Linked DNA regions of Oryctolagus cuniculus. The protein of the gene in region 1 purifies or fractionates together with the protein of each later gene. This does not show direct contact. Links are inferred from orthologs where the notes say so. Each region holds a gene or a part of one and is shown in the gene's direction. Other genes may lie near its edges.

What was found.
Region 2: the proteins of CDC37 (region 1) and FER purify together in Homo sapiens (affinity purification with mass spectrometry; 3 studies listed by BioGRID and IntAct, with this or other methods). This does not show direct contact. The link is inferred for Oryctolagus cuniculus from reciprocal best matches to the Homo sapiens genes CDC37 and FER.
Region 3: the proteins of CDC37 (region 1) and AURKB purify together in Homo sapiens (affinity purification with mass spectrometry; 7 studies listed by BioGRID and IntAct, counting the BioPlex papers as one, with this or other methods). This does not show direct contact. The link is inferred for Oryctolagus cuniculus from reciprocal best matches to the Homo sapiens genes CDC37 and AURKB.
Region 4: the proteins of CDC37 (region 1) and DNAJB1 purify together in Homo sapiens (affinity purification with mass spectrometry; 3 studies listed by BioGRID and IntAct, with this or other methods). This does not show direct contact. The link is inferred for Oryctolagus cuniculus from reciprocal best matches to the Homo sapiens genes CDC37 and DNAJB1.
Region 5: the proteins of CDC37 (region 1) and DDX17 purify together in Homo sapiens (affinity purification with mass spectrometry; 3 studies listed by BioGRID and IntAct, with this or other methods). This does not show direct contact. The link is inferred for Oryctolagus cuniculus from reciprocal best matches to the Homo sapiens genes CDC37 and DDX17.
Region 6: the proteins of CDC37 (region 1) and CDK9 purify together in Homo sapiens (affinity purification with mass spectrometry; 9 studies listed by BioGRID and IntAct, counting the BioPlex papers as one, with this or other methods). This does not show direct contact. The link is inferred for Oryctolagus cuniculus from reciprocal best matches to the Homo sapiens genes CDC37 and CDK9.
Region 7: the proteins of CDC37 (region 1) and CDK6 purify together in Homo sapiens (affinity purification with western blotting; 5 studies listed by BioGRID and IntAct, with this or other methods). This does not show direct contact. The link is inferred for Oryctolagus cuniculus from reciprocal best matches to the Homo sapiens genes CDC37 and CDK6.

Annotation. Positions count from the first base shown.
Region 1 is NC_091447.1:67,013,832-67,018,208, forward strand, and holds the start of CDC37 (hsp90 co-chaperone Cdc37), read left to right. Parts: upstream 1-1,541; 5' UTR 1,542-1,640; coding exon 1,641-1,742; intron 1,743-4,377. UniProt on the Homo sapiens protein: Co-chaperone that binds to numerous kinases and promotes their interaction with the Hsp90 complex, resulting in stabilization and promotion of their activity. Inhibits HSP90AA1 ATPase activity.
Region 2 is NC_091445.1:31,372,932-31,377,327, forward strand, and holds the start of FER (tyrosine-protein kinase Fer), read left to right. Parts: upstream 1-1,577; 5' UTR 1,578-1,696; intron 1,697-4,396. UniProt on the Homo sapiens protein: Tyrosine-protein kinase that acts downstream of cell surface receptors for growth factors and plays a role in the regulation of the actin cytoskeleton, microtubule assembly, lamellipodia formation, cell adhesion, cell migration and chemotaxis.
Region 3 is NC_091448.1:52,686,599-52,688,781, reverse strand, and holds the end of AURKB (aurora kinase B), read left to right. Parts: coding exon 1-1; intron 2-110; coding exon 111-259; intron 260-1,020; coding exon 1,021-1,195; intron 1,196-1,324; coding exon 1,325-1,498; 3' UTR 1,499-1,637; downstream 1,638-2,183. UniProt on the Homo sapiens protein: Serine/threonine-protein kinase component of the chromosomal passenger complex (CPC), a complex that acts as a key regulator of mitosis.
Region 4 is NC_091447.1:63,136,959-63,141,373, reverse strand, and holds DNAJB1 (dnaJ homolog subfamily B member 1), read left to right. Parts: upstream 1-1,547; 5' UTR 1,548-1,655; coding exon 1,656-1,866; intron 1,867-2,498; coding exon 2,499-3,079; intron 3,080-3,184; coding exon 3,185-3,415; 3' UTR 3,416-4,328; downstream 4,329-4,415. UniProt on the Homo sapiens protein: Interacts with HSP70 and can stimulate its ATPase activity. Stimulates the association between HSC70 and HIP. Negatively regulates heat shock-induced HSF1 transcriptional activity during the attenuation and recovery phase period of the heat shock response.
Region 5 is NC_091442.1:115,134,304-115,137,948, reverse strand, and holds part of DDX17 (probable ATP-dependent RNA helicase DDX17), read left to right. Parts: intron 1-1,045; coding exon 1,046-1,156; intron 1,157-1,367; coding exon 1,368-1,429; intron 1,430-2,087; coding exon 2,088-2,147; intron 2,148-3,645. UniProt on the Homo sapiens protein: As an RNA helicase, unwinds RNA and alters RNA structures through ATP binding and hydrolysis.
Region 6 is NC_091432.1:231,217,793-231,222,027, forward strand, and holds the start of CDK9 (cyclin-dependent kinase 9), read left to right. Parts: upstream 1-1,302; 5' UTR 1,303-1,586; coding exon 1,587-2,035; intron 2,036-2,465; coding exon 2,466-2,547; intron 2,548-3,570; coding exon 3,571-3,661; intron 3,662-3,756; coding exon 3,757-3,923; intron 3,924-4,235. UniProt on the Homo sapiens protein: Protein kinase involved in the regulation of transcription.
Region 7 is NC_091447.1:43,060,723-43,064,367, forward strand, and holds part of CDK6 (cyclin-dependent kinase 6), read left to right. Parts: intron 1-2,419; coding exon 2,420-2,587; intron 2,588-3,645. UniProt on the Homo sapiens protein: Serine/threonine-protein kinase involved in the control of the cell cycle and differentiation; promotes G1/S transition. Phosphorylates pRB/RB1 and NPM1.

The DNA of each region.
Region 1 (4,377 bases):
TTCTAGACTCCTCCCGGGCGCCGGACCCACCCCCTGCCCACCGCAGCTTGCAGCCCAGAGCTTACCTTGGAAGGGGGCTGGGGAAGGGACGCCCCGCCCTCTCCGGCGGGGGGAGGGGGCGGGAAGGGACTGGGGTGCCCAGACCCTTTGTTTGCTGGTGTGTGAGTGTGAGTGTGAGTGTGTGCGCGCGGCGGTGAGACCCGCCGGGGTGTGAGTCCGTGCGCGCGCGTGCTCGGGCCGTGACGGCCACGGAGGAGCTGGACTGGCGGCTGGAGGGGGGGAGGGGGAAGCGACGGGGACTCCCCCGCCCCCGCCCGCCCACTCGCGGGTTTGAATGAAAAGCGAGGGGGAGGGGCGGCGGAGGGAGGGCGCTTTTGGTCCCGATGGCCACTCCCCCTCCCCAACGGGCCGGGGAATCCCTCCCCACCCCCACCCCCATGGAGCGATTTTTATTCTCTCCAGGGACCCCCCACTATCTACAGAGGCTCTGCGAGGAACTGGGGAGAGGCGTCCCAGACACAGGTGGCCGGAGCTCCTCCAACTCCACTTGACCCTCGCGGAGCACCCCTTAATCTGAGATAATCCTGGCCCGAGGCTGCAACACGGCCTTTTATCCCTGCATCCGAGAGTGGGTGGAGCCGTGGAGCAGCGCGCGGCCCAGCTGCCCCGAGCTCGGGGCAGTGGCATCCTGAAGCCGTTCTGGCCGAGGGGAGGGGTCCCAGCCGAACGGGGAGGGGCGACGAGCAGCCCCAGACCCGGACGACGAGGAAAGCCCCCTACCGCCCCTCCCCAGTCCCCTACTGGGCCGGAGGCCAGCAGCACTGGCCACTAGCTGGACATTTGGCGACACCCAGCGGCCGTGCGTGGGGACGCCACGCAGGGCGCCCGAAAACCTTTTGGGTGATTCCAGAGGGGGGGTGTGCGCGCAAGTCGTCTCTCACGAGTGGCGGGCACCGGGGGCTGTGTGTGGTCCCAGCGCGGGAAACCCTGCCCTACCGTCGACCCCCTCCCCTCCCCGCCACGTAGGACAGGATCTTACCGCCGCTCGCTTAGACCCCTCCACCACGGCAGGGTCTCGACCCCCCCTACTCGAACTGGGGAGTCCCCTCGGGTCTCGTGCCCCTCCCTAGCCCGGAATCCAGTCCCCCACCTTCAGGGGAGCTGGGTGGGGGTGGGGGTGGGTCTTCGAGTCGAGGCCCCGCCCCTGCGGTGGCCTCGGGCTGATGTCACTGCGGCTTGGCCAACGGGACAATCCAGCCCCTCAGTCTCGTCAACTGCCCCAGCGCAAACGCCCCCCGGGGAGGGGGCGGCAGGAGATGAGAGGCGCTCCTGGCTGCCGCGCTGCCCTGTAGGCCCCCCAGGAGGTGCCGGGCAGAGTCTCCCTGCCCAACGAGGCGGGGTCTCGGCGGGAACTCCCTGGCCCCTAACACGTGCGCAGGTCCCTTTAAGGCGGGCTTGGTCGCCAGGGCCGCCGCCGCCGTTACCAGGGATGTGACGTCACGCGCGGGCGGGGGCTGCGCGCGCGGGCGGAAGCGGAAGGGGCGGGGCTCCGCGGGCCGAGTGTCCAGCGCTGCCGCCGCCGCCGCCGCCGCCGCCGCCGCCGCCGCTCGAGCGGGCGCGGGCTGGGCCGTGGAGGCAAGATGGTGGACTACAGCGTGTGGGACCACATCGAAGTGTCCGACGATGAGGACGAGACGCACCCCAACATCGACACGGCCAGCCTCTTCCGCTGGAGGCACCAGGTAGAGCGCGCGTGCCCGGCCCCTGCCCCCTTTCCCGGGACCGCTCCAGAGTTCTGACCGCGGGTACTGCCCAGGGGACCCCGCGGTTGTTGACGCCCGGGATTCCAACCTCACGGTTTGGAGTTTCCCGCCCCTCGATTCCACGCCGGGGCTCGGGGAGCGCTGGGACCCCCACCCCCACCCACCCCCAGTCCCTGCGCGCGACCCCTGGGGCCGCCTTCGGATTCTGCACGGGTCTCTATTAACCCTTGAGACGCCCTCGGTCTGTGTATTCCCAGGGCCACCGGGGGGGGGGGTCCCTCGCCTGTAGGAACCTCTGCCGGCATCTGAGGACACCCCACCCCGCCTCACCCCTGCCCCCAGCCTCATCAACCCTGGGACGGGCAGGTGGTCCCTGCTGGCAACTCAGGGACCCCATGGTCACCACCCCCTCTTTGACGTATTTGCCCACGACAGAGCCCCCAGAGCCAGACCCCAGAATCCTAGCCGTGAGCAGCCCGTGGCTTCCCACCCATCCTCCCGCCCGGAGGTGCTCACCCCGCAGCTCGCACGGAGCGCGCACCTCCCAGAAGCTTCCAGTAGGAATTCCCGTCCCGGGCCTCCCTTCTGGCAGACCTGTATCCAGAAAGCCCTAGAAGGGCCCTGCCCCATCCTTCCGGGATGTGGCCTGGGGCCTGCTTCTGCCTCCCGGGCCCACCCCCAAACCTTTCCTTAAAGCGGCCGTCTCCTGGGGCGTGCACCTGCTGTGCGGGAGTGTGGGAAGAAAGTTCCAGCCCTTCTAGTTCTATTTATTATGAAATATTTAAGACCTCCGCAAGGCTCCCCAGACTATTTCTGTCGCGTAAAGAGGTTAATCTTTACTCTGGCGTGGAGAGCGGGGTGGGGGCCGCCCCATTTCCTGGCCGGCTGCTGTGGAGGAGGGGCGGGGTGCCCGCCCAGCCCCCAGCCCCCTCTCCAGTTTGCGAGGTGGGGGGAGGTTTGTGATCTCTCTGAGCGCTGCAAAGCTGAGCTAACGCGGCGCCCGCTTCTGGAAAGATCCTGGTGCAGAGACTGGGATGGAAAAGTTAGAGGTGGCCTGGTGGCTGCCACTCTGGGTTCCCGGAGAGGTGGGCGTTTGCCCGCCGCCCTGGGCTCTGCACCCACTGCCGGCTCCGGTTCCCACTGCCCTTCCCACTGCCCCGGGAGGCAGCAGGGACGCCTCAGGGCCCTGGGCCCCCGCCACCCACGTGGCGGACTTGCTTTGAGTTCCTGGCTCCCGGCTTCAGCCTGGCCCAGCCCCAGCCCTTGTGGGCATTTGACGTGATGATGGACTAGCAGCTGGGAACTCTGTCTCTGCCTCTGAACTTTAAAAGATGGAGGCCGGCGCCGCGGCTCACTAGGCTAATCATCCGCTTGCTGCGCCGGTACCCCAGGTTCTAGTCCCGGTCGTGGCGCCGGATTTTGTCCCGGTTGCCCCTCTTCCAGGCCAGCTCTCTGCTGTGGCCCGGGAGTGCAGTGGAGGATGGCCCAAGTGCTTGGGCCCTGCACCCACATGGGAGACCAAGAGAAGCACCTGGCTCCTGGTTTCGGATCAGCGCGGTGCGCTGGCCGCAGTGGCCATTGGGGGATGAACCAACGGCAAAGGAAGACCTTTCTCTCTGTCTCTCTCTCACTGTCCACTCTGCCTGTCAAAAAAAAAAAAAAAAGAAAAAGAAAAGTGATATTGCTTATTTTGTTGCCAAAAATTTGTAACCAGGAATAGTCCTTTCGAGGCACTGGTTTTCTGTGAACTTTTTGAATCCAACTTATATGCCTGAATTTCAGACTTTTTGCACCCCGCTAAAGTTGCCTTTTGAAAGATTTATTTACTTTGCTGAGCCAATTTTTTGGTGAAGACTTATTTAATTTTAAAGATTATCCATTTCTTCTTTTAAGTTTTTTAATTTAAGATTTAGTTTATTTGAAAGGCAGAGTTACAGAAGGAAAAGGAGAGATGGAGCCGGTTTGCTCCACAAATGGCTGCAAGAGCCAGGGCTGGGCTGATCTGAAGCCAGGAGCCAGGAGCTTCCTCCAGGTCTCCCACGCGGGTGCAGGGGCCCAAGGGCTTGGGCCATCTTGCACTGCTCTCCCAGGCCACAGCAGAGAGCTGGATCAGAGTGGAGCAGCCGGGACTCGAACTGGTACCCATAAAGGTGCTGGCGCTTCAGGCCAGGGCTTTAACCACAGCACCAGCCCCAAAAGTTATCTTTTATAATGTCATTTCTCCATGAAATTTTTTTTAAAGATTTTATTTATTTATTTGACAGGTAGAGTTACAGACAGTAAGACAGAGAGAAAGGTCTTCCATCCGTTGGTTCAACCGCCAAACGGCCACAATGGCCGGAGCTGCACCGATCCGAAGCCAGGAGCCATGTGCCCCCTCCTGGTCTCCCGTGCGGGTGCAGGACCCAAGCACTTGGGCCATCCTCCATGAATTTTTGAAGCAGCATTCCAGGCGTGGCCAGTTGGGTTGGATTCAGCTCCTGGATTATTGGCACGCCAGCCAGCCGCTCGCTAGCTCTGGATCCAAGCGTATGCCCGGGACCCAACCCGTGGGGGTCGATGCCAGGGTTTCCTGATTTATGGATTTTTAAAGACGTGTTTATTGGAAAGGCAG
Region 2 (4,396 bases), on another chromosome or scaffold:
GATATATACACACTCGGCACCGCTTTTCCAATAGTACATTTCTTCCCATCTCCTTATCAGAACACAAACACATCGGCCTGCGATGGCATCGTGGGCGGCAGAACACGTTGCAGGTCTTCCTCAAGCTCCATCTTGCTTGACATCAAGGCAGATCGCTGTTTCATGAATTCCTGCTTCATCATGAAAGACAGAACAAATTCACACTCCAGGAGGGTGGCAAGTCTAGCTTCCTTCCAAAACTAGCACTGTGACCTTGGACGAGCTCTTCACCTCGCCCTGTCCATTTGTACATGGGGATCACAATGGTGCCTATTCTTCACAAAGTCATCCGGAGAATTCAATGAAGGAAGGAGGCTTGGCCTCTGGCATGCACTCCAAGAATGCTAACCACGGCTTCTCCTCCCGCCTCTGCACGGCACAGGTGGTAATCACGTGGCTCTGCTGAGCCTCTTCGGGTTCCTCCCAGTTGCTGGGCTGCTAAACAAGGAACCCAAGCAGGATAGGAGGCGGAGGCGGGACACCCAAAGCTGTAACTCTGACGTTTCTCGAGGGTTTAAAGTGGAAGAATAAAGGTTTTTCTAAAGCATTTCATAGTGTCTCAAGGCCAGGAGAGCCAATGAGGACGTGGAGTACAATTCTGGATGGGTAAACTGTTACAGGACTAAATGTCTAAGCAATTTAAATAATAAAAAAAATCTACTCTTGATGAAATTATGGCACTGTTAACACTGTTTTGTGCTTCAGCCAGCGTGAGACAAGTTTTTGCTTTGTTACTAAACTACACCACCACCAGTTTTACTGAGAAAATGCATTATTTTTTTTTTTAAAGATTTAGTTATTTATTTGAAAGTCAGTTACACAGAGAGGAGAGGCAGAGAGAGAGAGAGAGGTCTTCCATCCGATGGTTCACTCCCCAGATGACTGCAACAGCCAGAGCTGTGCCTATCTGAAGCCAGGAGCCAGGAGCTTCTTCCAAATCTCCCACGCAGGTGCAGGGGCCCAAGCACTTGGGCCATCTTCTACTGCATTCCCAGGCCATAGCAGAGAGCTGGATGGGAAGAGTAGCAGCTAGGTCTCGAACCGGCAGCCATATGGTGCTTCAGGCCAGAGCATGAACTTGCTGCGCCACAGCGCCAGCCCCAGAAAATGTATTACTGCTCAAAGTTAGATTTAGATGCACATTGGCTCGCTGTACTGGCAAAACTGTAATCTAGGCCTAAGTACAAGGCCTTGCCTCCCCCGGTGGGAACCAGTGAAATAACAGTACGGTAGGACGCTGTGTTGCTGGTGGTGAATTAACACTCCACATCCATTTCTAAACCCTTGTCTATGTTTTCATTCCACGGAAGAGCCTACTTGTCTCCAGGCCTCTCACGGCTAAGACTCGGTGAGACTGCTCCAGCGATGAGAAACAGGAAGTCAGTGGGGCCGCCTCCTTCCTCAGAGCTACTATCTCGTTCACTGGTGCTTGTGGCCAGACTCAGCATTCCAGTTGTCTGGTTATCAGCGTTATCATAATCTAGAGCCTCTGGCCCGGATGCAGCAGTCAAGTGACTGGGCACCAGCTGAAGAACAGAGGCACTTAAAGGGCTCAAGCAGTGGAAGCCGCAGCAGTTTGCTGACCTCTGGGTCATGTGGTGTGCCCTTGAACCTGACATCCAGTAGCAGGCCCCTATCTTCTGCATCCTACAATTTTGTAAGTACCCAGTTTCCTGCTTTAAATCCCTTTCTGTCTGAATTATCTAGAATGGGTTCTGTTTCCTACTAAGAATCATACTGTGTGGATGTCAAGAAAAATGAAGATTTATATGAATTTTGGGACAAAATTCAGATATAAAATTAACATCAAAATGAAAAGAGAATAGTATGTATTCTTTCATTGGTATAAGGACACAGCCATTTACATGTTTGATTGTTTATACATACACAAATTGAAGGTCACATATGAAAATACAGTCAGTAATCGCTTCTGGGAAAGCAAAAATGGGGTCTGGGATAGAAAAGTTTTATATTTCATTTATAGACCCCTTAAATTGTTGACTTTTTTTTTACCATGCTCATGAAATACATTTTTTCAATTAAAATTTCTTTAGTTGCAAGAAAACAGCACACTTCTGTAACAAATTGAAAATAGAAGATATCCATCAAACCACCAATCTAAGATATCATTTGCATTTTTATATATCCTTTCTAAACCTTTGTTGATTCTTACAGTGGAATATGTAGGCATCACCTTATAGTCTGCTTATTGTTCTGATGACCTATAACTGACCTGACCTTTAGAACATGCTTATCATGTGCCAGGAATATCATTCTTTGAATGATATTCCATTGAAATTAAGATGTTTTTGATTTTAAGAGGCATCATTAGCTTGTGTCTCATTAAGAAAGAACTTGAGAAAAAAAAAAACCCTGCCTACTAAACTATAACACAAACAACATGATGATTTTTTTTCCAACTGAACCACGTATCTCTGGAAGTGAAGCAATTCTGTCTCCAGTCAACAGGAGGTTTCTGACACTTTGGTGCCTGACACCTGAGTGATGGTTCTGCACAAGGCTTGCATTGGTCATATCAGCCTCTCATTGCTTTTGTCTACTACAAGCTGTTTCAGCTTCTCTTGACATTGGCTGCTGTATGATAAGCTTGTGTCTTAGTCACAGCTTCCTCTCTGTGGTTGCTTCACATGAACATGTAGAATTGCAGTCTCTCCTGCAAAGATAAATGCTTGCCTTGCCAAATATCGAACTTAAGACCTCCTGCTCTATTTCTGTGCTTTTATCCATACAGAATAACTTTTGTTTCCATGGTGGATCATAATAAAGTTGTTAAGGCATTTTAAAATGACAAATTCAAATTATGTAGTAATTTATGTACTAATACAATGTATGTGAGAACCACATGAACAGTGATGGTCAGATATATATACATATATATACACATATATACACATACATACACATATGCATATATACACATATATATCCCTTTCTATAAGAAACCATCAATTTTAAGTAATAGTACAGTATCAGAGAAGTTAAAATGTGGAAATGGGATGAGAGTTTGGTGCAACACTTAGGACTTTGAGAGCTTGTTTGGAGGTTCTGGCAGGGGAGTGCAGCTACTTGTAAACCCTTGACTGAAGACCGGTCCTCCTTTAGCGGGTAAGGTCGTCCTCTTTGACCAAGGGCGCAACTTCAGGAGAGACGCACATGGAGCAGTGAGGGAGGAAGGGGACAGTCGCCTAGCCAGCCAGATCAGCCGAATCAACCCTGGTGATCAATGGGGTGACAGATGTTGCAGCCAGATCGCCCTCACATCCAGCAGTTAGGACTTTGTATGGGACAGCGGCATCACATATGGAGATTCCTGGGTTCGAATCCTGGCTCCACTTGCCATTCCAGCTTCCTGTTAATATATACCTTGGGAGGCAGCAGATGATGTCTTAAGTGCTTGAATTCCTGCCACGCTTGTTGGAGACTTGGATTAAATTCCTGGCTCCCAACTTCAGCCTGGCCTAGCCTTGCCTCTTGCCATCATTTGAGGAGTGAATCATCAGTTAGAAGATCTTTCTCTGTCTCTCTGCCTTTCAAATTAATATATTATATATATGTATATGTATATATATATATACACCAACATACATATATATGGGAAAACATGTTCCTTAGAATAGATGAAATACAAGTATAGTATTAGCCATTTGAACCTCAAATAACCTTTAACTCCATTTTATTATTCCTTAGATAAGAAAATCAAGAAGCAAAGAGATTATCAAGGTGCATAGTTACTAAAAAAGCAGGTCTTTTAAAATGCATTCAGTTTCTAGTGCCTACAGTAAGCTTAACTATTAAGCTATGCTGTCTCCTTGTTTTGCTAAAACTTTTCCTTTATTACTACATAATAGTCATAATTATAGAAGCTTAATTCCGTCAGAACAAACCAGAATCTAATTAACCATTATCAAACATTAGATATTATATTGGTTCCAATTTTTCTGTTGTAAATTTTACAGCAATTAACATAACAACACATATGGCTTTTCAGAACCCAAAGGGATGTATTTTAATTTTTTAGTTCAAAAACAGTACTCATTCTAGAGAATCTGGAAAATACATAAATCTTAAATGTGCAAACAAGACTATGATAATGTCATTACATTACTAACATGTTGATGAGTTCCTCTTGAATTTTTGCCATACATCTCTTCATACAGTTGAGATTATAATGGAAATGCCTTCCTCTATCCTACTTTATTCACTTGGAATATTAGTTTCTTGCAGCTGCTATAACAATTAGCACAAACTGTGAGTCGTCAAACTACAGAAATGGATTGTCGCAAAATTCTAGAGGCCAGAGAATGAAATCATGGTGTGGGCAAGGCCATCATAACCG
Region 3 (2,183 bases), on another chromosome or scaffold:
GGTCGGGGCGGGTGGGCACCTGGGACCCCGGCTGGGGGCTTGAGGCTGGGGGCACGCTGCCTGTGGCCGCGGGGCTGTCCTTGTCTGACTGCCTGTCCCCGCCCTCCCAGATCATGGAGGAGCTGGCAGATGCCCTGCGCTACTGCCACGAGAAGAAAGTGATTCACAGGGACATCAAGCCGGAGAACCTGCTCCTGGGGCTGCAGGGGGAGCTGAAGATCGCGGATTTCGGCTGGTCTGTGCACGCGCCCTCCCTGCGGTACGTGGCGCTGGGAAGCCGGCCCTGGCAGGCGGCACCTCTGGGCAATCCCGGTAGGAAAGTAGGAGACGCATAGTTCTGACCCCAGGTGCTTCCCACCCTTCTTTTTTTTTTTTTTTTTTTTTTTTTTACGGGCAGGGTGGACAGTGAGAGACAGAGAGAAAGGTCTTCCTTTGCCGTTGGTTCACCCTCCAATGGCCGCCGCGGCCGGCACGCTGCAGCCGGTGCACCGCGCTGATCCGAAGCCAGGAGCCCAGTACTTCTGGTCTCCCATGGGGTGCAGGGCCCAAGCACTTGGGCCATCCTCCACTGTACTCCCTGGCCACAGCAGAGAGCTAGCCTGGAAGAGGGGCAACCGGGACAGAATCTGGCACCCCGACCGGGACTAGAACCCGGATGTGCCGGCGTCACAGGCGGAGGATAAGCCTAGTGAGCCGCGGCGCCGGCCCACCCTTCATTTCTAATGCCAGTGGAGAAGCACCCCGAGCTACTTAAGCAGAACCCGCTTGGCGGGCATGAGAGAGGCCTCCAGGGTTTCTTCCCCACGTCAGCACTGCCCTCCTGCCTTATCTGTTTTAGTCCCCCAGTGGAAGTACTGGGGGGCAATGTGGAGGCCACCGGCCCACCCCATCCCCAGAGGCGTGACCTGGATGGAGCACTCCCCTGCTGCCTCCCAGGGTCTCTTGGCTGCCTGGGGGGGAGAGGGTGGATGAGCATGGTTGCCTGGTCCCAGGACCCCTGGCATGCCCTTCATCCCACAGGAGGAAGACGATGTGTGGCACCCTAGACTACCTGCCCCCCGAGATGATTGAGGGGCGCACGCACAATGAGAAGGTGGACTTGTGGTGCATCGGGGTGCTCTGCTACGAGCTGCTGGTGGGGAACCCGCCCTTTGAGAGCGCATCACACAACGAGACATACCGGCGCATCGTCAAGGTGGGTCACGCTGCCGGCGCTCCAGGCTGCAGAGGCCAGGGGCTGGGGAGGGCAGGGTTGGACGCGCGGGTCTTTGTGGCCACTGGGGTGGAACACAGGCGGTTTCTGCTCCTTTCTCCCCTCCTGCAGGTGGACCTGAAGTTCCCCGCCTCTGTGCCCGCGGGGGCCCAGGACCTTATCTCCAAGCTGCTCAGGCACAACCCCTCCGATCGGCTGACCTTGGCCCAGGTCTCAGCCCACCCTTGGGTCCGGGCCCACTCTCGCCGGGTGCTGCCTCCCTCGGCCATGCAGTCTGTCGCCTGATGGACCCTGTCATTCACTCAGTGTTGTGTGTGTGTGTGTGTGTGTGTGTGTGTTTGTGTGTGTAGGGGGAAGGAGGGAGTCTGGCCTGTTCCCTTATCTGTCTTCTACCTCCTTTTTAATAAAAGCCGAGGCTTTTGTACATTGAGTGTAGATGTCTCTGGGTGGAGGCGACGGTTCCCTGTGGGTAGGAGAGGTTGCCTGCCCCAGCTGGTGCAAGGGATACTGGGTCACTTCCCCCGGTAAGAGCTCGCCCTCCCAGATCCCAGCCACCGTCACCCCCCCGGCCATTTCTTTCCCCTGCTCAGACTCAGAGCCCCAGAGCCTGGGGGTGTTGGGAGACCTCAGATGCCCTCACTGTGCTCAAACACCACCCACCTCTCCCGCCAGTCGATTGTCTGACCTCTGGTTTTTCTCTCTCCTGGTTATTCTGTTCCCCTTTGCCCACCGACCTAGGAGTGACTGAACGTGGCTATGCCCTAGAAGTTGTTCGTTTTACTCCTCTGGCCAAGATGGAAGGGGAGGGGACGGACGAGCAGTGATGGGGTCTTGTTACTGATGTTAGGTCTCACTGTTACGTATGATGCTTGCTGGCCTTGATGGATATTTTTTTTAAGATTTTTAAAAAATATTTTTGAAAGAGTACAGAGAGAGAGAGAAGATCTTCCATCTGCTGGCTCACTCCCCA
Region 4 (4,415 bases), about 3.9 Mb from region 1:
CTGCACCCTTGTGGGAGGGAGACCCAGAAGAAGCTCTTGGATCCTGGCTTCAGCCTGGCCTGGTGCTAGCTGTTGCGGCCAACTGGGGAGTGAACCAGCAGATGGAAAACCTCTCTCTCTCTCTTTCTCTCTCTCAGACTCTCCCCCTCTCTCTATGATTCGTGACTTTGAAATAGATAGGTGAATCTTTTTTAAAAATTTATTTATTTATTTGAAAGACAGTTACAGAGAGGTAGAAATGGAGAGATATTCCATCTGCTGATTCACTCCCCAAATGGCTGCAATGGCCAGAGCTGCACTGATCCAAAGCCAGGAGCCAAGAGCTTCTTCCAGGTCTCCCACATGAGTGCAGGAGCCCAAGGACTTGGGCCATCTTCCACTGCTTTCCCAGGCCATAGCAGAGAGAGGGATCAGAAGAGGAGCATTCAGGACTAGAACCGGTGCCCATATGGGGTGCTGGTGCCACAGGCCAGGGCTTCAACCCGCTGCACCACAACGCTGGCCCCCAGATACATAAATCTTAAAAAAAAAAAAAAAAAAAAAGATGCCAACCAGAGCTCCTGCATCCCACATGGGAGCGTCTGGGCTCACTCGTGGTTCCTCTGCTGCCCTTCCAGTTCCGTGCTAATGAGCATCCTGGGACACAACAGGTGATGCTTGGGTCCCTGCCAACCACGTGGGAGACCTGGATGGAGTCCCTGGCTCCAGGCTTTGGCTTGGCCCAACCTTGGCTATCGCAGGCATTTAAGGAGTGAACCATTGAATGAAAGTTCTCTCTCTCTCTCTCTCTCTCTCTCTCTCTCTGTGCTTTTCAAATAAAATGAAATCAATAAAAAAAAATTTTTAAAGCCAGAAACCAGGTCTGTTGAGGAGCCAAATACCGGGACTGTTTAGGAACAGGCAGAACCCGGTTCTGGTCCTGGTCGCCAGCCCAGGCTGGGAGGGAGGGAAGCCAAGGAAAAGGGAATTTCAAGTTTATCGGCAAGTTCAGCGGCAAGGGTGACACCAGGGGCAGGAAGGGCAGGACCCTCTCCAGGGGAGTGGACGTGGCTCGCACTGTCCCCTCCCCGCTGGCTGAGGAGGGCGTGCCACTCTTGCACTTGTGCTAAACAGCACCAAGCCTGCCGAACTTTGCACGACCCAGCCTGCGAGACGGGAGGCCAGGTTTATATCTGCTGGGAACAGGGGCGGGGCCACCTCGAGGGGCGGGGCTTTGTCTCGCCCCGCCCCTTCCCGGAGCTCCGCGTTCCGCTGCGGTAACCTGTGGACCCGGCAACGGACAGGGCTCGCAGCCTGCCAGATCCTAGAAGACAGTGAGCGGGAAGTCGTGATTGGTTCTCCCCGAGGGGGTGGGCGGGCCCTCCGCCTGCCCAGTGCCCTCGCCGCGGGGAGGCGTTGCCGGGAGAGGCGGGGGGGGGGGGTCTGAGAGGGAAGGGGCGTGGCCGCACGCGGGCGGCCGTTGGCAGCCCGGCCCCGCCCCGGATGGGGGCGTCACGGGGCCGAGGCCGCGGCGATTGGCCGGCGCGGCGCGGGGGGCGGGGCGGAAGGTTCTGGAGGGGGCTGGCGGGCTCTGGAAGCTTCCGCCGGACGGGTATATAGAGTCGGGCCGGGCGGCGGCGGCGGAGCCGGGTACGGCGGGGCCGCGGGCGGGCGCCATGGGCAAGGATTACTACCAGACGCTGGGCCTGGCCCGCGGCGCGTCGGACGAGGAGGTGAAGCGGGCCTACCGCCGCCAGGCGCTGCGGTACCACCCGGACAAGAACAAGGAGCCCGGCGCCGAGGAGCGGTTCAAGGAGATCGCCGAGGCCTACGACGTGCTGAGCGACCCGCGCAAGCGCGAGATCTTCGACCGCTACGGGGAGGAGGGTGCGTGCGCGCGGCCGCGGCGCGCGGGGAAACCGAGGCACGCGCGCCGCCGGCCGGGGGTGGGGGGCTGCTGAGAGGGCCCCCGGCGGGCGGAGGAGGAGCCCCGGCTCGCCGCTCGCGCAGAAGCTTCCAGCACGTCCGGGCGGCCCCTCCCTGGGTCTGCACCCGGTGCGGGCCGGGGCGGGGGGCGCGGCGGGGGGCGGCCGGGTCTCGGCCTGCCCAGCTGCCCGTCGGTGACTCACCGGCTTCCGGGCTCGGTCCTGAGCCAGTAGAGTGTGTTTTTTTTTTTTCCGATCATCAGGGCAGCGGCGATTGGTGCTGGGACGGGAGAGCTTCAGAAAGCTTCCGGGGTGTCTTTGGTTGGCCTGCATTTGCCCACGTTCTCTCTGGGCTCAGGGGACGTGGCCGCCGCTCTTCCCCCCTCTCCCCCACCCCGGGTCATGTCTGGGTCTCTTGGTGGATTCTTGGGAGGATCAGCCGGGAGCAGGCAGGGGCCGGGCCTTGGTGGCTGTCACCTGCGGGCCGAGGCCCCCAGTGTCTGCAGCGGCAGGTGCAAGCTTGGGGTCCGGCCCTCGGCGGGCTGAGAGCAATCCCGCCCCGCCCCCTCACGTCCCTGCGTTTTTGCTTCGCAGGCCTGAAGGGCGGCGGCCCCTGCGGGGGCAGCGGCGGCGGGGCCAACGGGACGTCCTTCAGCTACACGTTCCATGGCGACCCGCACGCCATGTTTGCCGAGTTCTTCGGAGGCCGGAACCCCTTTGACACGTTCTTTGGGCAGCGGAACGGGGAAGAGGGCATGGACATCGACGACCCGTTCGCCGGCTTCCCCATGGGCGTGGGCGGCTTCACCAACATGAACTTCGGCCGCTCGCGCCCGGCCCAGGAGCCCACCCGCAAGAAGCAAGACCCGCCCGTCACGCACGACCTCAGGGTCTCCCTGGAAGAGATCTACAGCGGCTGCACCAAGAAGATGAAGATCTCCCACAAGCGGCTGAACCCCGACGGCAAGAGCATCCGGAACGAAGACAAGATCCTGACGATCGAGGTGAAGCGGGGCTGGAAAGAGGGCACCAAGATCACCTTCCCCAAGGAGGGGGACCAGACCTCCAGCAACATCCCCGCCGACATCGTGTTCGTGCTCAAGGACAAGCCACACAACATCTTCAAGAGAGACGGCTCGGACGTCATCTACCCGGCCCGCGTCAGCCTGCGGGAGGTGAGGCCGCGGGGGTGGGGAGCCGTGGGGGTGCGCTGGGGGCGGGCGGGGCTCCCCAGGCTCTCGCGGCTGACCGCTGTCCTACCCCCCCCCACCCCCGCCCAGGCCCTGTGCGGCTGCACGGTGAACGTGCCGACTCTGGACGGCCGCAGCATCCCCGTTGTCTTCAAAGACGTCATCAGGCCCGGCATGCGGCGGAAGGTGCCGGGCGAAGGCCTGCCCCTCCCCAAGACGCCGGAGAAGCGCGGGGACCTCATCATCGAATTTGAGGTGGTCTTCCCCGAAAGGATCCCCCAGACGTCGAGAACCGTCCTGGAGCAGGTTCTGCCCATCTAGCGCCCCCACACACCCACCCACCCACCGCCCCCGCATCATCCGGGCGCCGCCGGCCCCAGGGACCTCGCCAGAGCTCAGCGTCTCCGGCTACCCCGGCACTCGTGGACCGTGAGAGGGCGGGAGGGCCCGGGAGCCTGATCCTGCTCTATGTTTTCCAGAGAATATATTACAATCTTTGAAAGTCGTGCACTCGACTGTGCTGGTTTTTCGGGCGGCGGAGCGGCAGGTGGTGGGCAGAGCAGGACGAGGCCCGCCCCGCCCCACGCTCCTCCAGACACCTCCCCCCCCCCGCACCTGCAGCTGGGTCCTGTGCTTTGTCTCCCCTGCTCCATGCCTCCCCCCACCCCCACCCCCCGGCTCATCCTGGCCATCTCAGGTGGAGAAAGCTAGACTCTGCAGAACTGCCCGGCCGGCGCCCACAAGCAATACCTTCCTCTTTCCAGCGGGACCACGGGAGCCCGGGAGCTCACGGAGACGGGGCCCAGCCGTGCTTTGCCGAGAGCGAGCTCTGGGCAGCTCCGGGTGCCCTTTCTGTTCCATGGACTCTGGACTTTGTTTTGTTTCGTTTCGTTTTGTTTCTCTCTCAAAGGGATCTGATCCTTCGGAATTTTGCACAACCCTGGAGAGATGTATAGAGACATAGCTATAATCCCTTTTGATAAAAGGGTCTTTGCTCCCGATTGCAGGAGCCTGTAAATGTTTTTATAACTCCCCGTCAGGCCGGGGTGCCCCCAGACGGGCCCTGCCCTGCCCCCATGGCCCCGGGCGGAGGCGGGGTCTATTCCCGGGACACCCGTCTGGTGCTCAGCCCCTTGAGACTCATTGTACGTTGCCACTGCCGACATGAGACCAAAGTGTGTGTGACTTGTCGCTGTGCAGGGTGATGGCATTAAAGACTGTATGAGAAACCTCCCGGGAGCGGCCCTCGGCTCGTGTTTGGTTCTGGGCACCGGGTGGGGGGGTGCGGGGGGTGGGAGGTTCCAGCGGGAGGGGGGAGGGT
Region 5 (3,645 bases), on another chromosome or scaffold:
GTTTTTGAGGCCTGAAAACATAAGCATTGGCTAGCTTTCTAGTTACAGACAATGAGAGGGAGAGACAGAGAGAAAAGTCTTCTTTCCTCCGGGGTGCTGGTTCACTCCCCAGATGGCCACAATGGCCAGAGCTGCACCGATCCAAAGTCAGGAGCCAGGAGATTGTTCCAGGTCTCCCATGTGGGTGCAAGGGCCCAAAGACTTGGGCCATCTTCTGCTTTCCCAGGCCACAGCAGAGAGCTGGACTGGAAGAGGAGCAGCCAGGACTAGAACAGGCACCCATATGGGATCCCAGTACCGCAGGCGGAGGGTTAACTTGCACCGTGGCGCCAGCCCCAATTGGCTAGCTTTCTAAAATACCATCTTGTTTAGCATTCACCAGAGCCCTGTGGTTAAAGGCCAGAGTTCTAGATCCTTGGTTTTTGGTTTTTGGTTTTGTGAGAGAGAGACAGAGAGAAAGGTCTTCCTTTACCATTGGTTCACTCTCCAATGACCGCTGCGGCCGGTGCACCGCACTGATCCGAAGCCAGGAGCCAGGTGCTTCTCCTGGTCTCCCATGGGGTGCAGGGCCCAAGCACCTGGGCCTTCCTCCACTGCCCTCCCGGGCCACAGCAGAGAGCTGGCCTGGAAGAGGGGCAACCAGGACAGAATCCGGTGCCCCAACCGGGACTAGAACCCGGTGTGCCGGCGCCGCTAGGCGGAGGATTAGCCTATTGAGTGGCTGCACTGGCCGATCCTTGGGTTTGAATCCTGGTCCTGCTAATTTCCAGCTGTTTAATGTTAGGTTTAGGCTCACGTTCTCTTTAGTTCTTCCATCTGTGAAATGGAGATGATTCCACCTACTTCAGACTTGCCGTGAGAGTAGTGTGAGTTGATGTTTCTCAGGAACATAAAGCAGTTCTGAGTGAGTGTCCAACATATGTTTACTGAGCCTTTTAAATGGGTAGTGAGAAAGCAATTCCTTAACTTTGGGAGAAGACGTATCTTCTGCATAATATATAGGGAGGTCTTTTCTGACACAATGGCTGTAACACTGGTCTTTCAGATTGATCCAGCTGATGGAGGAAATCATGGCTGAAAAGGAAAACAAAACAATCATATTTGTGGAGACAAAGAGACGCTGTGATGACCTCACTCGGAGGATGCGCAGAGATGGGTGAGTGCAGCACCGGGTTTTGAGTGGGGATTTGTGGTCAGTGTTGCAGAGGTCTCACCTTAACGCTGGCGTGCGGCTTACTCTTCGATGAAGGCTGTTTCTAGGAGTCTTAGGAGTTCATCAGAATTATGGGCAGCGTTTCTTTTTATATATAGCTTAGTTTTGTTTATTTTAAAGCCTTCTGAAACATTGGTCACTTTTCTTTTCATAGGTGGCCAGCTATGTGTATCCATGGGGACAAGAGTCAACCAGAAAGAGACTGGGTTCTTAATGGTAAGTCCAGAACTGAGCATTTTTCCATGGGCTTTTTTTTCCTTAATCTGTTGAGGACCAGCTAGTAGACATTTTGTCTCTGCAGGCTGAGTAGTGGTTTCTCACAGCTGGGTATCTGCTAACACCTCATGGGCGGGCCGTCTGGCACAGTGGTGCGGAAGCTGCTGCACCCCACATCTGCGCGCCTGGGCTCAAGTCCCGGCTCCATGCCGCGTTACAGCCTTCTGCTCACGGATGCTCTGGAGGGCAGCAGAGGATGGCCCGAGTAGGCGGCTCCCTGCCCCCGCTAGGAGACCTGGCCTGAGTCTGGCTGCTGCCCCCAGCTAGGAGACCCGACCTGAGTCTGGCTGCTGGCCTCAGCCTGACCCAGCCTTGGCGTTTGGAGGCATTTGGAGCATTAGCAGTGGGAAATCTTTTAGATTTCCCAGACACAAACACACTACACTTGGGACATAACTTCTAGGGGAAATAATACTTGGGCTTACGTTGGTTTTTGTTGCTAACGGACATAGATTGTCATTTATTAGTAGAAGTTACTTCCTGGTCTATCGTCCCTCTGCTAAAAAAATGATGAGGATTTTTAACAATCTCATGTAAGAATCTGCCATTTTAGGATGTGCCACTTAACCTTGACAGAACTTCTTTTTGCTCCCCACAGAGTTCCGTTCTGGAAAGGCTCCCATCCTCATTGCCACAGATGTAGCCTCCCGTGGGCTAGGTTTGTATAGATAGGTGTCTCTGACAGTGGTATATGTACCTTTTTTGTTTAAATATTCATCATTTCAAATTTAGAGTTGTATGTACATACGTTTAGATAAATATTTAAAAGAGTTAAAAGCAAGATTTTTCCCTTCCCCCCACGATTTTTTTTAAAACCTTGTTTTTGTTTTTTCTTTCATTTTCAAAGTCTCTTCCTGCTCCTAACAAACAGGCTTTGGTCTGCAGCAAGGCCTAGGCATGACTATTCAGTTAGGGGGAGAGGAGATACACAGTTGGACAGCTCAGCTTCTTCCTGGTTTTCCTGTTTCCTGGCTGGGTACAGTGATCCTGATCGAACCTAGGTAGCTATTACGAGCTAGTTTGAGTTAACTTTTTTTCAATACCAGTCTATCAATGCTAGATAGATAAATAGATTTGAACATAGAGGCCTAGTTCCCAAATGAGATTAAATAGATTTATGATACAATATCATTCAGCAATTACATCTTTATTGCCCGATTTTCCTTAAAATATTCATGGGCATTGTATCCCCTCCTCCCCCCCATTCTCATATCATGGATGTGTTTCCTAATTTGAGCCTCATATGAAGTGTTCTTTGAAGTTTGAGACCCACTCTGGCTTAAGATCTATGCAGACAGCTTGTGGCGTGTTACCCATCATTACAAGATAATCAGTAGATCTGACTCACAACTTTTCTATTTAAAAAGTGAGATTATTTCTCTGACCAAGAAATCTTTAAATTGTTGGGCATTTAGTGTCTTGCCCAGTAAGGTGAGAAGTACTGTATTCCCTTATGCTGTTGAGTAGAAGCCAGTATTCAAGTCAGGGCACAAAATGATGAAGCCTTTGTATCCCTTGAAATGTCCGTCCCCTCCTTCAGAGGTGGTGGCTCGCAGCCATGATGGGAAGTTGTCTCTGCCCTCTGAGGTCATGTCTGGATCTGTGCCGTTAGAACTTGGGCCTGTTGGGAGAGGAGGTGGAGGCCTGAAAGCAGTTTCTATACAAGCTTTCAGTAATGGTGGTTTTTAAACAGGCTTGCTATGTGCTGGTAGCTTCTTTGTGCATCTTGCCTAGACAATTAAAAACATGCTCCATGTTCCCTTGCATATCGAAACCAAATCAATTGGCTACCATTAGAATGACTTAGACTCTTCACCCCACCCCTCGCTCGCGCAGTGAGGGAGAGGGAAGGTCCCTCGAGTCTGTTTCTTGTTACTCATCATCAGTGCTTGTTTCGGGCCCCTTTGTGTGCTGCCTTGTAAAAATCAAAGGAGGGAGAAAACCCACCGCAATGGCAGAACTCTGACCAAGGTCCTACAGGATCCTGGAAAGTGAAGGCTTCTACCTCACAGACAGGGGCGCAGTTTTCAGCTGAGTCACCAGGCCTTTTTTCACTTCCTGTCAAGCGATGGCCTCTTAAATGTCCCTTCAGGTAAGTTCTTTGATTCCCACGATTCTGTGATAGTCATACTTATAACAGGCAATCACGAATCCCT
Region 6 (4,235 bases), on another chromosome or scaffold:
GGGAGCTCAGGAGCCACGCAGAGGGCAGAGGGGGAGGGGAGGGGACAAGGGGAGCAGCTGAGGCACAAAAGCCAGTTCTGCTGGGGGCTGCTCGTTGGGCAGAGCTCCTGGGGCCTGAGGGGAGAGAGAGAGAGAAAGAGAGAGAAGGAGAGAGGGAGAAGGAGAGAGGGAAATAGGGAGAGGGAGAGAGGGAAAGAGAGAGAGAGGAGAGAGAAAGAAGGAGAGGGAAAGAGAGGGAGAGAGAAAGAAGGAGAGAGAGAGAGAGAAGAGAGGGAGGAGAGAGGGAAACAGGGAAGGAGAGAGGGAGAGGGAGAGAGGGAGGGAGGGAGAGAGAGAGAGGGAGGGAGGGAGAGAGAGGGAGAGAGGGAGAGGGAGAGAGGGAGAGAGGGAGGGAGAGGGAGAGAGGAAGAGAGGGAGGGAGAGGAAGAGAGGAAGAGAGGGAGGGAGGGAGAGAGAGGGAGAGAGGGAGAGAGAGAGGAGAGGGAGACAGAGGGAGAGAGAGTGGGTGGGATGCGGGCAGGGGCGGGGACAGGAGGGGCGCCAGGTGGATGGCGGGCTTGGTGCCTGTGCCGGGACAGCAGGCCTGCAGTGGCGTGGGTTAGAAGGCTTCAGGTTCAGGAGGATGGGTCCGGACCCCAGCTCTGTCACTTGGTGACAAGGGCTAACACCCCGGGCCTCAACGTCCTCCTCTGTAAAATGGGTCGCCGTGCACTCAGGATTCGGCAGGAATGGCCAGCACTCCCTGAGCAGACATACACGTTAGGTGCTTTTGCGAGTACCGACCCCAGGTCCCTCAGCTCCGGCGCAGCTCGTCGGGGTCTCGACCCTTCCTCCCGGAGAACGGGGGTGGGGTGGGGGGCGAGGCTCCAGAGGACCGGGCCTGGCTCGAAGCCGCCGCCAGTGTCGCCGCGCCCCCTGGCGGCTGTCGGTTGCCATGTCAACGGCGGGCGGCCGGGGCCGGGGGCGGCGGCGGCGGCGGCGGCGGGGGTGGTTCTCGCTCCCTGGGCGCCTCTTGCCTCCGCCTTTGGGGGAGCGCTCGGAGCCGAGGAGGCGGGGGCCCCGCGCGGCAGCCGGCAGTGGGGGTAAACTGAGGCACGCGGCAGGGCGCCCCGCAGCCAGGTGTGGAGCGCGGGGCCCCACCTCCGAAGACAGAGGAGGGGCCGCGGGCGGTGACGCGCCGAGGGCGGCCGGCCGACAGCGAGCGGGCGGGCGGGCAGGCGGCGGCGGCGGCGGCGGCGGCGGCAGGTGCGGCCGCGGAGGGTGGGCGGAGGGAGGGGGCGGGCAGAGGGGGAGGGGAGGGCGAGGCCGGGGCGCCTCCCCCTTCATAACGCGCCCCCTCCTGGGCTCTCCGGCCGCCTCCTTGTCGGCTCTCCGCGTCTCGCCCCCTCGCCCGGCAGCCCCGGGCCCGAGCCCCGGCCAGGGAGCCCCCAGGCCGCGGCTCGGGGGCGGCCCCCCCTCGCCCGCCGCCCAGCGCAGCCCGGCGGAGGCGGCGCCGTCGGAGGAGGAGGAGCAGGGCACTGCGGCTGGCCCCGGATCGGGCGCCCGAGCGGCTGCAGCAGCTTCGGCAGCAGCGGCGGCCTGGGCCGATGCAGCGGGACGCACCGCCCCGAGCCCCAGCCCCAGCGCCCCGGCTCCCGGCGCCCCCGATCGGGGCAGCCGCCAGCACGGGCGGCGGCGGCGGCGGGGGCAGCGGCGGCGGCGGCGGCGCCTCTGCAGCTCCGGCTCCCCCTGGCCTCCCGGGAACTACAAGTCCCAGGGGGCCTGGCGGCGGGCGGCGGGCGGAAGAGGCGGGGTCGGCGCCGCGAGGCCGGAAGTGGCCGTGGAAGCGGAAGTGGCGCGGCCGCGGAGGGGCCTGGAGCGCGGCTGCAGGGCCCGGGGCGGGAGCGGCGGCGGCTGCGGCGGGGGGCGGCGGCGGCGGCGGCGGCGGCGCGCTGGAAGCGGCCATGGCAAAGCAGTACGACTCGGTGGAGTGTCCGTTTTGCGATGAAGTGACCAAATACGAGAAGCTGGCTAAGATCGGCCAAGGCACCTTTGGGTAAGGCTAGGCCCCAAGGGGCCGGGAGCTCTGGGCCTGCACCCCTCGGGGCCGACGTCGGGACGTCCGGGGCCCGGCCAGAGGAGGTCGGGCGGCCGCCGACTCCTCGGCTTGTGCCCTGGTCTCGCTAGGCCGCGCGGCGCCGGCGGGCGGGGAGGAGCTTGAGGCCGGTGTTGGGGGGGCGCTAGGAGGGGCTGCAGAGCGGGGCCTGTGAGCGCAGCGATGTTCCGCGAGCCTCCGGGGAGAGAAGGGGCCGGGGGGTGCACGCCGGGGCCCGGAGGGAGCCTGCAGGTGCCGGGCGGCAGGGGCGCGGCTCGCGCGGCCCGGGCCCCGGCCCCACCCGGAGCCGCCCCTCCTGTCGCGGGGGAGGGGCGGGCGGGCGCTGCGGAACCCGGCGGGTGAGCTCTAGGGTCTCCCTGTCGGCCTGCAGGGAGGTGTTTAAGGCCAAGCACCGCCAGACTGGCCAGAAGGTGGCTCTGAAGAAAGTGCTGATGGAGAACGAGAAGGAGGGGGTGAGTACGGGCCTGGCGGCCGGGCTGCCCCGCGCTGGGCTCCGTGCGTCCCCGGGCGGCCGGGCTGCGCGCTGCCCCGCGCCGGGCTCCGTGCGTCCCCGGGCAGTCCCGGGCTGAGATCGAGTTTGTGGTGGCCTCGGAAATGCTGCGAGGCATCTGGCCCGGGCTCAGCCTGGTTCTCTCCTGGAACGGCGGCTGGGCCGGTGGGGAGCTCACGCCTGCCCTGGCGTCCGCGCAGAGCGTTCGGAAGCCTTTCAGCCTCTGAGTTTCCATCTTGTTTAATTGGAAGGGAAAACGCGCACGTGGTTCTTCAAAGGGATTTTGACGCGGGGCGGGCGGCTGACAGCGCTGCCCCCCCAGGCAGCCCCCACCCTGCTCGCCGCCGGGCCTCGCAGCTCGACACTGTGAGGTGTTTCCGCCGATGGCTGTCCCCGGTCCTGGGCTCAGACCGGCTCCTGAGATGGGCCCGCTGCTCTCACCCCTGTGCTCCAGCCATGGCGCCCACCCCCCACTCACGGTCCCCCTGCCCCCGTCCCCCCAGTTCCCCATCACGGCCCCCCTGCTCACCGCTCCTCCCCCCCCGTTCCCCATCACAGCCCTGCCATGGGCCCTCTGCTCACGGCTCCCCCCCCCCCGTTCCCCATCATGCCCCCCCTGCTCATGGTTCCCCTCCCCCCCAGTTCCCCATCACGGCCCCCCCTGCTCACGGCTCCCCTCCCCTCCCTCCCCTCCCCCAGTTCCCCATCACGGCCCCCCTGCTCACGGCTCCCCTCCCCTCCCCCAGTTCCCCATCACGGCCCCCCTGCTCACGGCCCCCCTCCCCTCCCCCAGTTCCCCATCACGGCCCCCCTGCTCACGGCTCCCCTCCCCCAGTTCCCCATCACGGCCCCCCTGCTCACGCCCCCCTCCCCTCCCCCAGTTCCCCATCACGGCCCCCCTGCTCACGGCCCCCCTCCCCTCCCCTCCCCCAGTTCCCCATCACGGCCCCCCTGCTCACGGCCCCCCTCCCCTCCCCTCCCCCAGTTCCCCATCACGGCCCTGCGGGAGATCAAGATCCTGCAGCTGCTGAAGCACGAGAACGTGGTGAACCTGATCGAGATCTGCCGGACCAAAGGTGCGGGCGGCCGGGGGCCAGGGCCCTGCCTGCTCGGCCGGCCGGCCTGAGCGGGCGCGGGGGGGCGGGGGTGTCCTGACCCCTCTCTCCCTCAGCCTCTCCCTATAACCGCTGCAAGGGCAGCATCTACCTGGTGTTCGACTTCTGCGAGCACGACCTCGCGGGGCTGCTCAGCAACGTCTTGGTCAAGTTCACGCTGTCTGAGATCAAGAGGGTGATGCAGATGCTGCTCAACGGGCTCTACTACATCCACAGGAACAAGGTGGGCGGGGCGGGGGAGGGGCGGGGCCGCGGGGGGGCCGGGGGCGGGGCCGGGGGGGCCGCTGAGCGCCCTCTACTACATCCACAGGAACAAGGTGGGCGGGGCGGGGGAGGGGCGGGGCCGCGGGGGGGCCGGGGGCGGGGCCGGGGGGGCCGCTGAGCGCCCTCTACTACATCCACAGGAACAAGGTGGGCGGGGCGGGGGCGGGAGGGGGCGGGGCGGGGCCGCTGAGCGCCCTCTACTACAGCCACAGGGACAAGGTGGGCGGGGCCGGGGCGGGGCGGGGCCGCTGAGCGCCCTCTACTACATCCA
Region 7 (3,645 bases), about 24 Mb from region 1:
CTCTGCTATGGCCTGGGAAAGCAGTAGAGGATGGCTCAAGTGCTTGGGCCCCTGTACCCATGTGTGGGAGACCCGAGACCCGGAAAAAGCTCCTGGCTCCTGGCTTTGGATTGATGCAGCTCCAACCATTACAGCAATTTGAAGAATGAACCAGCAGATGGAAGACCTCTCTCTCTATCTCATTCTCTCTGCCTCCTCCTTTCTCTGTATAAGTCTGACTTTCAAATAAATCTTTTTTAAAAATGATTATGGCATATCCCAGGGAAGAAAATCGTACAGCCATTAAAAATCACATGGCGTAAAAAACATTCCATGGGAGAATTTCGTTGAAGAGCAAAATATTCACAATGAATTTAAAAGCGACACAAAATAATGATAAAGAATAATAACAATTTTTATTAAAATATTTAAACATATACATATAATACATGTAATCTTTTTAAGACAGAGTAGAAAAAAAATTGTTATTTAACATGAAGTTTGTGTTCTGAGCAGTGGGATTTTGAATGATTTTTCTTTTTACTCTAGATTTCCAAAAACTTAAGAACTTCTGTATTAAACATGTATATACATGTTTATCAATTTTACAACTAAGAAGGCAGTATGTGCTTATATAAATACACAAATAACAATGTACACATGTTCTTATTTTACACTGTAGTTAGGGCTTTTTATAAATTTTGATGGACCTTTTTATTAATTAATTAGTTCGGGTTTTTAAAGTTTTTTACTTCTAATTGGTTGCTTCCATTCTCTGAATACTGCAGCATGAACCAGGCAGGTGTATTCTCCATTCTGTTTTAAATGGGTGATGCTTTGTGTATAGGAAGCTAAAGATGAAGAGCCAGCGTGACATTACTTTAGGTTAGTCATGCTGCTTAAAACCAGCGCTTACAAGTTGTGCGCATGTGGTTCCAATAAAGACGCGTTTGCCGCCGCAGAAGAGCACTTTCTTTAGAGTGCCGGGCTTCATTTTCACACACTGTGTGTTCACTGCAGGTCGTTTCACTCGCAGTGGGGCTCGAGTCTCCAGGGCCGTCCCTCCCCAGAGTGGTTTCCTCCACAGCTTTTACCTTTGGAAACTGACAAACCAGGCCCTCCCAGTTCAGAGTATCCAGTAAAGAGGACCTCCTGGGTCACTGCTCGCTCCCTCCTAGTACTCGGTTCACACTGACCTTCCCTCTCCCCCAGCAATAATTACCATCTGTTGAAAAGTTTGTGCCGGAAATGCATCCCCATTTTGCATACATTACTTCCATTTAAACGTGGCGTTCTGGAAAGCAAACGATATTTTTACCATTTTACAGATGGAAAAATTAAGGCTTTGATTTTGAACAAGTGAGGAGGTGAAGACAGAACTCCCAGCTCTAAAGGAGGAACCCAAGCCGTAAAACCACACACGAAGGCATTGTTCTTCCCTGAGGGCCATCCCAGCCCCTTCCGGTTCAGAACTCCATGATTCTGCCTTTTTGTTTTTTCTAGCCTTCATGGGAACAGAATAGTTCCTCCTCCCTTTTACACACTGTTTAGATAATTATCAACCCCAGATTTCAGAGGATCATGGTATCGTGGCTAATGTCTTAAGTTCCTACTTTGACATACCGATTCTGAGTTTTAAATCTTGTATCTAATTTTATTAGTCGTAAAATTTAGATCTAGTATTGGTATATTTTCTGAATGTCCCTGCCCACTGCACTGGTTAGTAATGATAGCAGTCATCTGTCACGTATTGAATGCTTACTGCTGTGCTAAACACCTCACACCCATTAATCTGAAGAAGTAAGTTTTGTTACTTTGCCCTTTTACGAATGGGAAAACAGATGAAAAGGTTTGCCTCATTTTACATGTTTGGACGAATTAACCTGTTCTGCTTTTGTGTATGTTTCTTGACTTGTAAAATGGAAGTAATGGTGTTACTTACCTCACTATTGTGGTATGGTTTAAGTGAGTTACTACACAGAAGCTGTTTCGAATAGTGCTTGGCACATAGTGACTGCTTAGTATCAAGCACTCTTGTTATTATAGTTACCACAGGTTAAGTTACCATTCACTGGATTTTGGTTGCTGAACTAAATGTGAAACAGTAGGGTCCCCTCTCACCACCTCCTGCTGCCCCTCCCCAGCGTTAACACAGACACCGAGTTAGCATGGGTCCTTCCAGAATGTTTCCTCTGCTATCTAGAACTATTCTTAATTGTCCATTCATTAATAAAATGTAGGTCAAGAGCTAAGTTTTTTGTAGTGTTCTTGAGACTGGAAGAGGGGAGAGGTGGGGAGGGAGACAGATTCATTTGCTAATATTTACCGACTGCCTACTGTATGCCCAGCACTCAGCAAGGTGCTGAGAATTCAATGTCAGATATGGCACAGGCTAGATTTCCAACTCGAACATTCATCTTCTCATTTGGTTTTCCTCTAGGATATGATGTTTCAGCTCCTGCGAGGTCTGGACTTTCTTCATTCTCACCGAGTAGTGCATCGCGATCTAAAACCACAGAACATTCTGGTGACCAGCAGTGGACAAATAAAACTGGCTGACTTCGGCCTTGCGCGCATCTACAGTTTTCAGATGGCTCTTACTTCAGTGGTGAGTGAGCACGCCATCCTTTCCTTAAACTCACGTTTCCCTTTGAGTGACAAGCAGCTCCCCTCCTGTGCCCCTAATGTTATTGCCCGTGGTTGGCTGGTTGGTGAACAGAATGTCTTTGCACTTTTTTATATAGCAGTGAGTGGGAAGAAGGCATTCAGCTTCCAGCTACAGACACATCCGGACTGAGCTTGTGGACAGGCCCCATTGCAGAAATAGCTGTTGCATCTTAGCCACTAGAAAGGAATCGGTTACAAGTTTCCAAATGCTTTTTGCCATAACCACTGTTTTCAGAACAGTGTCTGTAATGCCTGAGGAACGCATGGCTCAAGGGCAGGGCAGGGGGAACACCAGGAGCATGAACCTGTCTGTGGGATCCTGGTGCAAGAACCTGCTCAAGGGCCTACACAGATGTGTTACAGCCTTGCTCTGAAGCTTTGATGCCAACCATGAAGGAAAACTTAAATTTACGGTGAACTTGGATGACCCCCTAAACACATAGCACCACCCTGCTGGGTGAAGCTTTCTTCCAAGACAGAACAGAAACAGGGCCAAGGGCCCAGTTTTGGCAAAGAATGATAGTTATGATATCCTGTTCTTTGTCTCATAATAGCTGTTGACTTCAGTAAGCTTCTGTTTCTCCTTATAGTTTATTGTTTCTGAGATGAATTTTTATGCTGTGCTGCACCCAAACTATCAAAAAAGCAACCTAGAAACAGGTGTGAATAACCCTTCTTGGCGAAAGACCTGTTCTACGTGTGGTGCACGCATGCATGGCTCCAAAGAGCCAAAGAAGGTCCCTTTGCCAGGCTGGGTCCCTTTTTTCAGGTAGGAGGTTGATGCAAAAAATCCCTTTGATGTGATGACAGCTACAGAAACGTAGCCCTGGAAGATGTTAAATTAGGCGTGAAGAGAAAGAACCCATAGAAGCCAGCTCTGGCGTTGAAGTGGTCCTCAAATCTGAGGGAGCACTGCCTCAGATGGGGGCCCTTGTTGAGGAAAAGGTCTCTATGGTCATCACAGTGACTTGGGGGATGGGGTGGCTGCCACTGGCATTT